Linked DNA regions of Saccharomyces cerevisiae S288C. Changing the gene in region 1 together with any one later gene gives a genetic interaction. Each region holds a gene or a part of one and is shown in the gene's direction. Other genes may lie near its edges.

What was found. A genetic interaction does not mean that the proteins touch.
Region 2: mutations in YOL036W (region 1) and DCD1 together harm fitness more than expected from each alone (negative genetic interaction), as found in Saccharomyces cerevisiae (one large-scale study listed by BioGRID).
Region 3: mutations in YOL036W (region 1) and CUP9 together harm fitness more than expected from each alone (negative genetic interaction), as found in Saccharomyces cerevisiae (one large-scale study listed by BioGRID).

What each region holds. Positions count from the first base shown.
Region 1 is NC_001147.6:253,463-259,530, forward strand, and holds YOL036W (uncharacterized protein), read left to right. Parts: upstream 1-3,282; coding exon 3,283-5,568; downstream 5,569-6,068. Other genes in the region: 40S ribosomal protein uS19 RPS15, read right to left, coding at 1-115; ribosomal protein P2 RPP2A, read left to right, coding at 835-1,155; YOL038C-A (uncharacterized protein), read right to left, coding at 1,464-1,559; PRE6 (proteasome core particle subunit alpha 4), read left to right, coding at 1,875-2,639.
Region 2 is NC_001140.6:386,833-391,599, reverse strand, and holds DCD1 (deoxycytidine monophosphate deaminase), read left to right. Parts: upstream 1-2,873; coding exon 2,874-3,812; downstream 3,813-4,767. Other genes in the region: CRP1 (Crp1p), read right to left, coding at 1-1,300; DNA-directed RNA polymerase core subunit RPC10, read right to left, coding at 4,155-4,367. UniProt on the Saccharomyces cerevisiae protein: Catalyzes the hydrolytic deamination of dCMP to yield dUMP, the nucleotide substrate for thymidylate synthetase.
Region 3 is NC_001148.4:212,087-216,672, reverse strand, and holds CUP9 (Cup9p), read left to right. Parts: upstream 1-2,710; coding exon 2,711-3,631; downstream 3,632-4,586. Other genes in the region: TRE1 (Tre1p), read left to right, coding at 1-661; nuclear cap-binding protein subunit CBC2, read right to left, coding at 3,889-4,515. UniProt on the Saccharomyces cerevisiae protein: Probable DNA-binding protein which plays a role in protecting yeast cells against copper toxicity. May regulate the expression of important copper homeostatic genes.

The sequences.
Region 1 (6,068 bases):
CTGGGGCCAACTTGACGAAATCTTCAGTGGACATTTCCAACAATTTTTCCAAATCGACACCTCTGTAAGAGTGGGTCTTAAAAACTCTCTTCTTGGCATTAACAGCTTGAGACATGATCGGTCGTGATTATCTTGTTGTGTACTTCTAGTTCGTCTTATTCTACAATGTAAGGATAAGCACTAACAAATAAGAAAAAAATGAAATCCAAGAACAAATAAAAGAAGAGACCATACCATAATGTGAAACTCTGCACAAAAGATTAAAAAGGAATAAATTGATTGCGGATAGGAAGGGCCAAGCAGACGATTACGGTGTTGTCTCGCAGCTTCCCAGCAAGGAGTTTCTCAGAGAACCTACTCCGAGTGAAACGGACGGAAGAGACCTTCCAAAGAGAAACGAAAATCGGTTCTAGGAGGACGCTCCCTCTAAGTGTCTAGGCCCGTGTTGGGCGGAACTGCCGCCCAACACGGTTTCCGGGACTATACGCCCAGACATAACATTGATTTATACGCGCGGTGTACGGATTAAAAAAGTTTTGTACCTGTTTTGAGGCTGTAACTCATGGCAGCCGAGGGGAATACCAGGGGAGAGACTATACCGGACGATATGCGGAAGACGCGCGAAACGTGAAACATTTTGCATGGAACTCCAAAGCGTTGATACCCGCTTGAAGTTTAGTTAACCTAGTAGCGGAGAGCCGTTATTATTCGAGGTTTTTCAATTGTTACTTCTGGTAATTTCTACTTCCGTTTATTCAAAAGCTTTTTCTATTATTTTAGTGATTTTTTTCTCATTGGAAATTCATACACAACAACAGAACCAATCATACAAAAATGAAGTACTTAGCTGCTTACCTATTATTGAACGCTGCTGGTAACACCCCAGATGCCACCAAGATTAAGGCTATTTTGGAATCCGTCGGTATCGAAATCGAAGACGAAAAGGTTTCCTCCGTTTTGTCCGCTTTGGAAGGTAAGTCTGTTGACGAATTAATTACTGAAGGTAACGAAAAGTTGGCTGCTGTTCCAGCTGCTGGTCCAGCTTCTGCTGGCGGTGCTGCTGCTGCCTCTGGTGATGCTGCTGCTGAAGAAGAAAAGGAAGAAGAAGCCGCTGAAGAATCTGACGACGACATGGGTTTCGGTTTATTCGACTAAGGTTGAGTAAATTTGTGCAATCTCGTTATATCATATCTTGGAAGTTATAGAGGGAAGGGCGCAAAAATAAACCCTTTCCTCTTTTTTACGGCGACCATACTCTTTTTTTCCTAATCCTTTTCAAGTTTAAATCCATGATTTAATATCTATTTATACATATAAATAATATAAGTAATGGTTTAATGCATTGTTTCAAAAAAAAAATAAAAAAAAAAGGGAAGAAATTATATATAAATATACTTCTTCATCTTCAAAATTCAAACCGATTGTTTTACTGGTTAGAATATTATGTGTGCTCTTTCTTTGCTCTATGACATGGCTCTGTTTTGTACCTTCCTTTTTTTTATGCTATTGAATAAATTTGTTGTAGCCGCTTTCCTCAGGAAGGACCCCATGTATTTCATCAAATCATATAAGTTGAATATCCCATCAATTGCGTACCTAGTACTTAAATAAAATACTCACGTCGCTTTCTTTGAATATTTGGAAATGAATTGAGACCTAGTGTGCTGTGTGCCCTTGTTCATTGACGATTAAAGCTTTAAGGACCATTACTATGGGTAAGAATATCATCCGGGCAACGGTATTTCTTAATCTTTTCGAAGATTCTTTTGCCACCGGAAGGGAAAGAAAAGACATCATATATAGGTGGTAGCAAAACCTTCAAGTTAGTGCTCAGCAGTTCATCAGGATCAGTTGCATAAACACAATTACACAAAATGAGTGGTTACGATAGAGCTTTGTCCATTTTCTCCCCAGATGGACACATTTTCCAAGTGGAGTACGCCCTGGAGGCGGTAAAGAGGGGTACCTGTGCTGTAGGTGTCAAGGGTAAGAATTGTGTAGTATTGGGCTGCGAAAGAAGGTCTACTTTGAAGCTGCAAGACACTAGAATTACGCCTTCCAAAGTTTCCAAAATTGACTCGCATGTGGTGTTGTCATTTTCTGGTTTAAATGCAGATTCCAGAATTCTTATCGAGAAGGCTAGAGTGGAGGCCCAAAGTCACAGACTAACGTTGGAGGATCCCGTGACGGTGGAGTATCTCACACGTTATGTCGCTGGTGTGCAACAAAGGTACACGCAGTCAGGAGGTGTTAGACCATTTGGTGTGTCGACGCTGATTGCCGGCTTCGACCCGAGAGATGATGAACCCAAGCTTTACCAGACCGAGCCAAGTGGTATATACTCTTCGTGGTCCGCTCAGACCATTGGGAGAAACTCCAAGACGGTACGTGAGTTTTTGGAGAAGAATTACGATCGCAAAGAACCACCAGCCACAGTGGAAGAATGTGTCAAACTTACTGTAAGATCTCTGTTGGAGGTAGTTCAAACAGGTGCAAAAAATATTGAAATCACTGTTGTTAAGCCGGACTCAGATATTGTTGCGTTGAGCAGTGAGGAAATTAACCAGTACGTCACCCAAATCGAACAAGAAAAGCAAGAGCAGCAAGAGCAGGACAAAAAGAAAAAATCTAACCATTAAAAACGGCGATATATATTGGGCATAAAACCTATATAAAATAACAGCAATAATAAAAATGCAAAATATAACATAGCACGGTATAGTTAGCTCATATATGTTTTAACGAGCCTTACATTATATCATTTAATACGATCTCATGTTTTTCGGATTTCGGATCTCGCCAAGAAAACTTGCTGATATAGAATGGAATGGAATGACTTCAAAAACTGCCCACTCATAAAGTTTGCTTCTTTAAATTGAATATATATTCACAGTCCGATTTGAAAAGCTTACCATCTGCCACACGCATTCTACTCCCTAATTTCCACACACAGTGTTTTTGTTTCTATAAAGAAAAAGAAAACCAAAATACTGTACTTTTTCCCATAATTTTCTTTCCATACGCCTATATGCCCATACTTTGCCCGGTTTATCGAACAACGCTGTGAATTTTGCGAGTCATAAAAGACTTATCGTACCATTATACCCCATTCATTATCAAAACATTATCTTATTTATATATCCAATTTAAAATCCTGTTTTTTAAGAAATAATTTCCAATACATTATTATAACTTATTGATACCTATTTAGAATCGATATTTGGTCTTTTCTTTGAGAAGAAAAAAGAAAAGAAATAAAAAAAAAGTTCACAAAAGTTTGTCATGGAACACCAAGATAGTTCGCCACCTAGATTCAGGAACTCTGGCTCTAATAGAGTCACTGTGTATAACGGTACTACCCTGCCTACGATGCCCAAGAGCGCCACACCAACATCGAGCTCAACAACAGTTACTACGCATTTGCAAAATATTAAGGAGGAGGAAACAAACGATGACGAACTCACCCAAGTGGATCGTTCATCTCCTCGTGTTTTGGGGAGGATCTCCTCTACGTCCTCATCTTCATCCAATATTGATTTGCGCGATAACTTGGACATGTTACACGAAATAGAAAAATCAAATACTAATATTTCTTTATCAGCTCCTAATTTGCATGAGGAACTGGGCGTTCTCAGCGATAAAGGTAACAGTAAAGAAGAATTGGCTTTGTTACCACCTTTACCTCACACAGGAGAAATGGAAATCACTCCACAATTTGATATCAACGAGGCTATTTTTGAACGAGATGACATCAGCCACTCTTCAAGGCTAGAACCAGATGACGTGTTAACAAAGTTAGCGAACTCTACTCGAGATGCTACGGGTGAAGATCAGGGGTTTGTTGTCATGACTCATGGCCACGATGCGTCGACAAACGACGATTCGCAATTAAGCGCTACTATTCTTGACAATCAGACGTCATTTGATCTTTCTAAAGCTCTAGAGATGACTAGCCATTCAAATATTTCTAATATTATTAATAGTTCCGGTTCTGAGGGAAGACGTTCAAGGACACCGGTAAGCAATTCCACTCTGAAACCAAATTTATCATCTCCTGAAAGCGCAGAACGTGAAGCAAACACGACTTCGTCCTCCTCTACGTCGGATCACGGGGCAACAATGCAATATGATCCCAAGAAAATAATAACTCCAATTCCTGTTTTACCTTCCTCTGTCCGTGAACAGCAACAGAACAATGCACCTTTGAGAGAAAGAAGCAGATCTAATTCTAGTGCACTGGCATCTACACTGAGAGATACGATCATTTCAGGACTGCCTCAAAATATTAATTCTGTAGAAAGAAAGTTATCAAGGAAGAGTAACAGGAGTAGGAAGAATACGGTGACTTTTGAAGATCGTCTTCAGAAATTGCCACCCTTAAGCACCCAAATTTCGAACCAGTACGCCAAGGTAGCACCAGCTGAGAACAATATCGCCTTACACTTTCATAACTTACCTACACCAGTATCAAACACTCAAACGCCTGTTACGTTTCAGTCTGAATCCGGACTGACAGGGGGAGAAAAGAAAATGCCTTTTTTGAGAAGAGCATCTAGTGCCCTATTAAGAAAGACATCTGCCAAAAATTGCTCCAATTTAACCAGAACAAATACACCTACTTTATCGACATCCTCAACATTTGAGTCAGATCTAAATGCTCGGCAGCCCATGCTAATTCGACGATCTTCCACTATTGATAATAAACTACCTAGGAGGCAGCTTTCGTGCTCGAAGCTTTATTCGCGCCTCAATTCGGACAGCAAGTTTGCGAATAGCAGTCGAGCTTCGGAGGAGGTCTTAGTGTCCACTCCAAATGACACAGAACACGTCTACAGAAAGACATCTCTAGGTTCTAAGATAAAGAGAGGTTTTACTAGAATATTGAGCGACAGTAATAATAGTAAGGAAATTCTCACTTTATCACCCAAATCTATGGTGACTACGGGGCCTACAGAATTGTCGTTTTCCTCTTTATCAACCGTGGGAGGACATCCGACAACGCCAGTCTCAAAAGAAAATGATCGAGTTTCAATAGATGGCGTGAGTACATTTAATCGAGCATCAACATCTCTTCCAGAATCATCAACAGACGACATCTCTCCACTACGCGAAGAAGGTAAGATTAATGTTCCTAAAAGAACGTCAAGTAGAAAGATACTGTCTAAAAATTCAAGCAAAAAAAATGTACTGCCTGAACAGCAAACAAAGCCAAGTGAAATATATCTGGATAAAGAAGCCTTACAAAGTTTTGTTCCCGTACTCTCTGTCACAGAGGGTACTCATCGCATCAATCGCTCGTCGTTACAAACGCAATCTACCATCGGATTATGCATTACCAATTTAAGAAACAAAGAAGGCATGAAGCTCAATGCCAAGGAATACGTGGAAATCCTGGCTCAGCAGCAACGCAAGGAAGATGAAAGGTATGCTGTTTTGGAAAGAAAATTTGCATCTTGTAGATGGTGCAGTGATAAGGACCTGCAGTATTTGAAAAAGAAACGAATTTCCATGAATAAGATATGGTCTGATTATGTCCGATTTTACCGTGGAAAGTTGAACAACCCATGAAGGAAAAAGGTCTTGGCTATATATAACGGCAGACAAAATATAAGTATACACGTATATATGGTGGTAAACACGCATATACTGTATGCCATGTATTTACCATTACATAGTTATTTACGCACTCTATAAAAAGTTAACATTGCATTTTAATAAATTCCTTAAATTACTCTAATTAGGATGGTAGCCCTACCTTTTTTTTTTTTGGCACACATGGTCAACTTTTCTTCTCATGCTTTAAAAGGCGAGAAAAAATGAAAATTAGCAAAATGACCTTTCCCTCCTTCCCACATTGAATATATACACTGGAAGATATAAGCAACCAGTACTGTAGATAAAAAAGATCACTACGATATTCGTCGGACTCCAGTCGGAGTGCAGTGCCCGATTACTCTTAATTGCACGCATCGTGCCAAGTTTAATTGGTATTGCTCGAACATCTAGGAATAAGAGAAGGACTTACTTTAGAATGATGAAAGAGGTAGCAATTTGCAGCAGATTTTTCG
Region 2 (4,767 bases), on another chromosome or scaffold:
GGGCTTTTACAGTTTGTTTCTTAACCTCTTTGGCAGAAGGCTTTTTTTCTTTACTGGTTTCTGACCTCTTGACCTCTTTAGAGCCTTTTTCTTGCTTCTTTTTCTTTTCTTTTTCTTCTGACACTGCTGGTGATTTTCTACCTTCAGCTGTTTGCTCGTCAGTCAAGGGTAGCTTGGGAGCTTTGTTAACGATGGGGTCTAATGTAAAGACCTCTTCATCTTTTTTTGCCTTATTTTCTACTTTTTTGGAACCGTCTAATACACCTTCAGTGGACTCACGTTTCTCCACCAACTTAGATTGAAGAGACCCCTCCACTGGTTCAACTTTCGATGACTCAGGTATAGATATTTGTGCTTCCGGAGTTGGTAATGGTTCGGGCTCATTTATTAACGGAGTAACCGCTTCCACTTGAGGAGTAAGTTCCTGCACATTATGAGCCACTTCCTTGGTCTCAACAATCGGGTCGTCAGCTTGTGGAAGAGCAGGACTCTTTTCCGTAACTGATGATTCAACAATAGGGCCAGCAACGGGTTCTGGAACCTCTTCTTTTTTGTTAAGTCTTTCATTCAATTCCCTAGCATCAACGTCTCTAATTTCGGTAAATTCCTTGATTTCACCAGGGTTTGGGACAAGAACAGGACCTGGTCCACCAATTATACCATTTGATTGAGTTGTGTCTGCACTTTGATCGATTGGCAGAATATGGAAATTGCCCGGAGCTTCTTTGGAAACATTAGTAGGCTCCGCCAATGGAGTTTCTTCCCTAGAGGTTCCAGTAACATCTTCAGTAGTAGTTCCAGTCACCCCGTCTTCTTCTTCATTATCGTCTAAACTTTCATTTGACTTCTTGTTGTTCTTAGTACTCTTTTTCTTCAATTTAGATCTTCTTTTCTTATTGTTACGCTTGTTTTTCTTTCTATTACTTGTAGAAGGAGGACCTGCTGAACGAGGCGGTTTACCACATAATAGGCCACCTGCCTCCGGGATTCTACTGGCACCGGCAACTTCCTGCGTTTCAACTAAATCGGTAATTTGTAAGAAATTGTTTTCGATTCCTTCACTAACATGCTCCTTTTTATACGAATCACTAACGCACCAAACGCCATCCACAATAAACTTAAACTGAAACGTATCATCCTTGTTGGCTAGCTTCACGGGCATAGTAATTTCGAAATTTCCCTTGGCGGTCTTCACGAGGGGTAAAGTGCCCCTCCAGTCATCAAACGTTCCTGTTAAAATAACATCTTTTGGACCAGCAGGCCAGCTAAAAGTATAGTTGAACATGAGTTCACTACTCATTTTTATTGATAGATTAGTTTTCTTAGTGATTTTTGTATCTTTTATTTTGTAAGTACAAAAAACGTATCAGAAAATGATAAAACCTTGTTCAAATCCTTGTTTGTATTGTTTACCAGGCGATGAGATCGGGTTTCAACAATTTTAGCAACGCCACTTTTCCTAACGGGTAACACACCAAGATAAATGGCGTCAGAGCGTCTTTTTTATGCACAGAAAAACCAGTAGAACACATTAATTAATATTATAACTACATAGCATTTACTTGGGTTGAAATGGTGAAACCTTACCTGGAACTGCTTATTGAAGCATAGAAATAGGTGCACAGTGGAACCCAAAAAGTTTATCGGCAACTTTACCTTCAGTGTCTTGATAATAAGGCAAACGCTAGGGTCAATTGAAGAAGAATTTCTGTTAGGTAAATTAATAGTGTCATTGGTATTAGTAGAATATTACCCGTCGAAATAGAACCAACTATCGTCTATCGACTAATATTCATACTGCTAGTATATTATTATATCCAGTGTAAGAAGATGACTTTAAGATTGAAAAATAATCTTCATAATTTAATGGAAGCTGAAACGCAAAGATTGATAATGCAATAGGATGACGAATGACGACATAAAAAACGGAAGAAGAAATACCAGTAACATTATGTAGAATAGGAATTTCCTTTATCAATAGTCGGATCATAACGGTTGCATTAAAATTTGGGATATTGGTGAATAATTTGATAATTTTTGGCATTCTGTAATTGATAAAGCTATAACATCAAATACAGAATATATAAAAGTGTTGGAATAAAAATCAACTATCATCTACTAACTAGTATTTACGTTACTAGTATATTATCATATACGGTGTTAGAAGATGACGCAAATGATGAGAAATAGTCATCTAAATTAGTGGAAGCTGAAACGCAAGGATTGATAATGTAATAGGATCAATGAATATTAACATATAAAATGATGATAATAATATTTATAGAATTGTGTAGAATTGCAGATTCCCTTTTATGGATTCCTAAATCCTCGAGGAGAACTTCTAGTACATTCTACATACCTAATATTATTGCCTTATTAAAAATGGAATCCCAACAATTATCTCAAAATTCACCCACTCTTCAAAAAGACATTCTCCTCAAGAAATCCACAAAAAGGAATCAACAGTTACGCATAATAATATTTCTTTTCCTTCCTTCTTCTTCATATTTTGCCATTCTCCATCCAGTTGCATCTTTAAGATGCTCCCGTCTCTTTTTATGCCTACATAGTTTAATTCTTTATTTAGAACACCAACAGATACATGGGCGTGTGGTCTAGTGGTATGATTCTCGCTTTGGGCGACTTCCTGCCTAAACAGGAAGACAAAGCATGCGAGAGGCCCTGGGTTCAATTCCCAGCTCGCCCCATTATAATTTTTTCACTTTTTTGTTCTTTGCAAGAACGCGCGGTACGCAGTTATGAGATGATGTAGGCAATCTCGAGAATTGAAACTTCTGCATTACCATAGAATTCAACATCTTTTTTTGGCACATTAAAGGTGTGAATGCTACACTAATCAATATAACACGATTATGTTAATTGGTGTAAGTGGTACGAAATTTTGCGGATGCGAAGATGTTATTAACATGTTGGTTGATCATTTTCATTTTGAATTACTCAATCACCTAGATAATCCAGAGGAGATATTAGATTATGCTACGAAAAATTACACAAAAAATTCAGTTATATTCCTAGAAAAATTATCATTACTGGAGAAACTGGAAAAGAGACCATTTTTTGTTCATCTTTCTATCGACGCTCCTGTCACTACAAGGGTAGCATTATACAGGAAAACGACTCAAGCAGAAAGCTTATCATTAGAACAAATAATACAAGCCATTGATCAACATGACTTTCAGCCTGAAGGCATCAAATTAAGGGAGAAATCCCATTTGAGATTTAAAATAGTTAATGAGGACCGCAGAGGAAGGAGACAGAGCTTGATTAATAACATTACCACACAATTAAAGATTCTCGATGACAAAGAGAAACAAATGGCTCCATTAATGAGGCCTAGTTGGGATAGCTATTTTATGAAGTTAGCCACACTAGCAGCATCTCGTTCCAATTGCATGAAACGTAGAGTTGGTTGCGTGATTGTGAGAGAATGCAGAGTGATTGCTACTGGCTATAATGGGACTCCTCGACATTTAACAAATTGTTTCAATGGCGGTTGCCCACGTTGCAATGACGGTGATTCTAGAAATCTGCACACTTGCTTATGCTTACATGCAGAAGAGAATGCACTACTGGAAGCTGGCAGGGATCGTGTAGGTCAAAATGCGACCTTATACTGTGATACTTGCCCTTGCTTAACATGTTCTGTAAAGATTGTTCAAACAGGCATCAGTGAAGTAGTTTATAGCCAAAGTTATAGAATGGACGAGGAAAGTTTCAAGGTCTTGAAGAATGCGGGAATAACCGTCCGGCAATTCAGCTTTACGGAAGAACCAAGAATTGTGATGATTTAATTCATAAGTTCCTTTTCAGTTCGAACTAATGTAACATATATATAAAATACTACATTTAAAAAAAATACAGTACATTGTACAAACTAAAATCACTATAAATAGCGAATACTTTTCTTATATACTATTATTATTATACATTTGTATACACCTTTTTTCATTAATATAATCTCTAAGTGATATACGTTTTCCCTTAAAAAAACATAAAGAATTTGCTGGAAGAAAAGTGCTGCATAAACTTAAATCAAGCACAAGTTTATATATTGCAAAAACCTTGGAAAACCTAGGTTCTTTATTTCGTATTATTCTGCCCCGGTAACCCATTATGGTTTTCAGTCTCTCCATTCATCTAGCTTCAAATTGAACCAATCTCTTAGTCCTAGCCTTCAACAGGATTCTATGACCACAGTCCTTACAACGGACTGCATCAGTTCTGGATAAAGATAATTTACTAGAACATTCAGCACAAATATACTTCAAAGTTGCCGTTCTAGCTTGAGAAGTACCTGCAGCTGCGGCGTCTAAATTTGTTGGAATCTGGAACCCTTCGCGAGACATTGTTATACTTGTGGACTTTTATTCTTGGGTACGTTCTTATTAAATGTTGGTAGAATAAGTCGATGATGTGGAATACTCTTCACTTTTCTGATTCTAAAATCTATTTTAGATGTTAAAGAAATGAAAAAAAAAAAAAAAAAAATTAAAATTCAGAAAAATCATATTCTACGACCGCAGCGTTATATAACGTTACATCGGTGAGGCTAATTGTAGCCTTACCTGGTAATGTACAATGTCGTGGTCATGAGACAAATGTCAAATAGGAAGATGCAATGGAGAACAAATTTGACACACATGATTGAATCATTAAATCTACGGCAATATTTTGTTCTTATTTAGTGTCTCTTTCTCCATATCACTGCTCATATCAGGAAAAACTGTAGATTCTGACAATGTACTC
Region 3 (4,586 bases), on another chromosome or scaffold:
AGGAGTCATGAATAGAGAACATCCGATCTACACAGTAGAAGACAAATTCGATTTCATCAAAGATAAACTAAGAGACAAAAAGAAGGGAGAGGTACTTTCTGAGATAATGCTATATCTTGTCGAAAAATCACTCGAGCTCATTGACGATCCATTCATCCCATTCAGCATATCGAACTACGTAGATTTCCTTTCAACTACGTTAAAAGACCTCCAAAAAGAATGTCCTGATACGGTAAACTTTGACGAAGTCTTTTTGGGCACAACATTGTGGGAAAACACTAAACTGCAGTTCGAAAAATGGAAAAGCGAATGGACAGAGCTTATGTATGGAGCCGGTACATATATAGAACCCACTATCATTGCCATTAATCGTTGGTCATGGAACTACCTACTTTCCCTAATAGGCGTTACCCAATGTTTGGAGGAAGGGTTAATGGATAGAACCTTTTACAAGAACGTTATCTTCGGGCCAAAACTCTGGGTCGACAAAGGTGACCCACTTCGTTCATGGACGTTCCCTGAAATCAGGGACACTATTGCAATCAAGGACTGGAGCTCTGTGCAGGTTCAAGCTAACACACTCGGCACAATTTTACAAAATACAGCACGCTATTTTCTTGAGAATAAAAACCTTCATGGAATAAACACGAACGAATTTTAGTTATCGGTTGAAAGAAAATTACACATCGATTTATGCAGGCAATCAACTATAGTATACACAACATATACTCCTATGACTTGTAGATTTCTTGCCTAGGAAGACTAAATACGTTTAATTCTAAGATTAGGAGCCCATGCATTTAAAGTTGCTTTTTGCCTGTGCGGGACAATTTTATTAGTCAGTATGGACATCTCCGCGGGGAATTTTTTTATCGGCAGAGCTGTTTAGACAAAGGATATAGATAGTATAAGGTGTTAGTACACACATTTCAACATAGTTATATTAGGAAGATTGCCACAAATTTCCTCTTTTTTTTTTTTTTCTTGTTTTTATTACACCTCCGCCCCTTGAATACCTTAGAGGTTAAGAAGTGAAATGCCAAGAGAAAGCCTAATAGGACACACAGTATTTACCACGGGAAAAGCGCGGGATATTTGAATCAGCTGGAGATTATTATGTACGCCATGTATATTTTTAGAGACGGCTTGTAACGGGTGCCAAGATATTCCATATTTTTATGTCTCAAAAAGGAAGAAAAGAGCTACGAGCACGTGCAAATATATGAACTTCAACACCTGTAGAAACTCGATAGTGAATAAATCAATCACAGTGCTTTCCTTGAAATAAGCTTCTGTCTGAACTTTAACAGTGATTTTTTTTTTATAGAACAGGCCTTTTCATCTGCAGAGATATGTCTAGTCTCGTAGGTTTTGACTCGTAACTTTGACTTCTGCATCTGGATCGTCAAAGCAACCCATACTTGACTTGATTACATTAGCATCAAAGAAAATCGTGCCAACGCCTTTTAGTCATGTCGAACGGTAGAGGAGGAGAAAGAGGGAGCTATCAAATTTAAAATTCGCAAACAAGCTGTTGAGAGCGACATAATAGCAATATTGTCGGGCCCCTTAAACACGTTTCATTAGTGTTTTAAGTGCCAAGCCAATGTGTTAGTAAGCTTGTAAAGGAATGCACGTATTAGAAAGTGAGCAACTTAAAAGTGAGCAAATATGATTAAAGTAGTATGCCTCCGAAGCTCGTCTTGTACTGCAAACTAAGCACAGAATATGCCGCACAAATGTCGGTGCCTATTATACATATGCTTTTCGTTATGTGTCTTAACAGACCTGACCGTTAACGGCAACAGAGAAAAGGAGCACTACCGACGGCTTTTTGCTTCTGGCCTATTTAGTGCCTGAGAATTTTGTGCGTGTTTCCTAGTGTCCGGCGGGCTTGACCTAGTCCACACTTCCAACAAGCACAAGCAGCGTGCTTCCTCACACTGGCGAATGCACCCAGAGTCGGCGTTGCCCGAAGTAAGAACCCTACCGCTACTCTGGCGCAGGCGCAGAGGAGCCACAGCCCTTTAAGACGCAAAAAAAGTAAAGCGGCAAAAGAAAAAACTGTCACTTTCGGACCGTTGGGTTATCCACGGGGTTTTCTGAGCACTCATGATCGGTAGCGGTATATTTCTGATCTCGCTCATTTTCTGTCAAATCGTCCTGATAATGGACGAAGACTGTACGTAAAGGGCAATTTTAAGAGACACAAAAGAATCCCACGAGAATTACTACTGTTGATTTTTGTGATTGGCTAGATAAGAAACCTTATCCGCTCACGCGCGTATTACTTCCTTCTTCGGATTCAGATTTCTTTCTGTGGGAACGGGTCATTTCTGCCATCTTACGTCTCTCAGCTTTTCTCTTTTGTTGAACCTTAATTTATTCATGTACATCAAGCTGTAGTTTGTTTTTTTCTTTTGGTAATTAATTTTTGTCCTTTTGTTTTCTTACAGCGTGTATATATTAATGATTAATTTTCTATGACTGATTTCGTCGCGCCCGGCGTTTTCTTGTCTCTTAATGCCTCCTGTTTCTGTTAATTGGTAAGATTATGTTAAATTGGTCAAGATATATACTAATACAATTTTTTAGTTGATCTTCCCACCCTTGTTTTCAAGCGATACCACGCCTATCCAGTGCTACTGATCGCTACTTGCCGAGCCCCTACTTTTATGCTAACAACCTTCGAGAATAGTTACATTCGAAGATGAATTATAACTGCGAAATACAAAACAGGAACAGTAAGAATGTTGACAATCAAGTCAGTCTACCCCCTATCCAAGTTCTATTTAACTCCATAGAAAAACGGAGTATGCCCGAGTTGGCATTTTCGAACATAGAATACTCGCATGGGAACCTTCGGTCTAGTACCGAGGAACAAAACTATCCTGCGCCTGTGTTACTTCCACAGCATCATTCGATTGCGTATCCCGCAATTAATTCTGGCGGTACTAGTACTACTGCTACTCCTACTGCTTCTACAGTTGAAACGTCCAAGACGAGTAGCAGTGCTATGGATACACAATCTCAATATGGCAGTTCAAAGAAGTCAAAATCGGCGTCCGATGATGCAAAGCCCTGCTACAAATCCGCCCCAATATATGAAATAATCAATAAGGAAAAGGATGCGGGGGCACAATACAACAGGCCATTTTCGGATTTTGTAGAATCTAAATCAAGGAGGAAGCAAAATTCGGGCAGGAGGTCTAACCTGCCAAAGGAAACAGTGCAGATACTGAATACTTGGTTGCTGAACCACCTGAATAACCCCTACCCAACTCAACAAGAAAAGAGGGAGTTGTTAATCAAAACTGGGCTAACCAAGATTCAACTTTCTAATTGGTTCATAAATGTGAGAAGACGCAAAATATTTAGTGATTACTATACCCTGGTAAACTCAATTCCTAATGACAACGCGAATAATACCCCAGTGGAACGAGTTCAAAACGTCTCAGCATATCATAACACATTATCTGCCACAAATAATACTATGTACGATGCTACGTCAACCTGCTCCACGGATTATGAATTATCCAAGAGATTTGCTCATGCCCCCGTTACACGCCGTAAAAAACTAATTGATAGGCTGGAAGAATTGAAAAAGCTATCCAACCCTGATATGAATTGATCACTTATCAATGCATTACTTAAATATTCATATAATTATATCTATTACCATTTACATTTTATCGTTACTATATATAGTATTATCATGTCATTGAACGTGTTACGTCTATTATGTTACACTGATTTTTTTTTTTTTTTTTTACATAACAGCATCATGCAAGCCTTTAAAAATAATGTAGGTATGTATATATACAATAATATATATATATATATATATATCTGTGTGTAGAATCTTTCTCAGATATAAATTGATTGATTCTACTGAGGTACGTAGTTATCATCTTCTCTTTCTTCATCGAAACCTGGTCTGAAAGTACCCATTGCATCAGGAGGAGGGATATAATTATTCGTATTAGATTGTGAGCTACTGTTATCAAATCTGGAATGTGGTACGCCGACACGCTCTGCAAATGGAATGGCGAAGCCACCTCTGGATGCATCAAAATCGAACCTCAATTCATCGCTGACTTGACCACCGCTCTTACCACGACCAAACTGTCTTCCATCTTCAAAACCAGGATCTAGATCAATGGTAATTGTCTTTTCGTCTAACTTTGTATCGGACAAATATTTTAAGGCATTCAATGCTTCATCTGGACAACTATATATAATAAAACAGAAGCCACATGGCGTGAACTTAAAACGGTCCAAACCCATAATTATTCTTTTTATTGTGCCACATTTACTGAATAATTCGTAAATTTGTTCTTCTGATGTATAAAAGGAAAGATTTCCTACATAAATTGTGGATGACTTCATCGACTCACGCAGTTCTTGTAGCCCGTTAGGGTTTCTTCTAGCCTTGCGCAGCAGGTACCTTGATGGTGTATCTAGGCGTTTAGTTGAATGATCATATTTAACTTCGTCAAATTCTTCCAGGGACATCTTTCCCTTTATTTATTGGTATATTAATGGATGCAACTTTTATTCGATATTAGTCCTTTCGGGACTTTAAA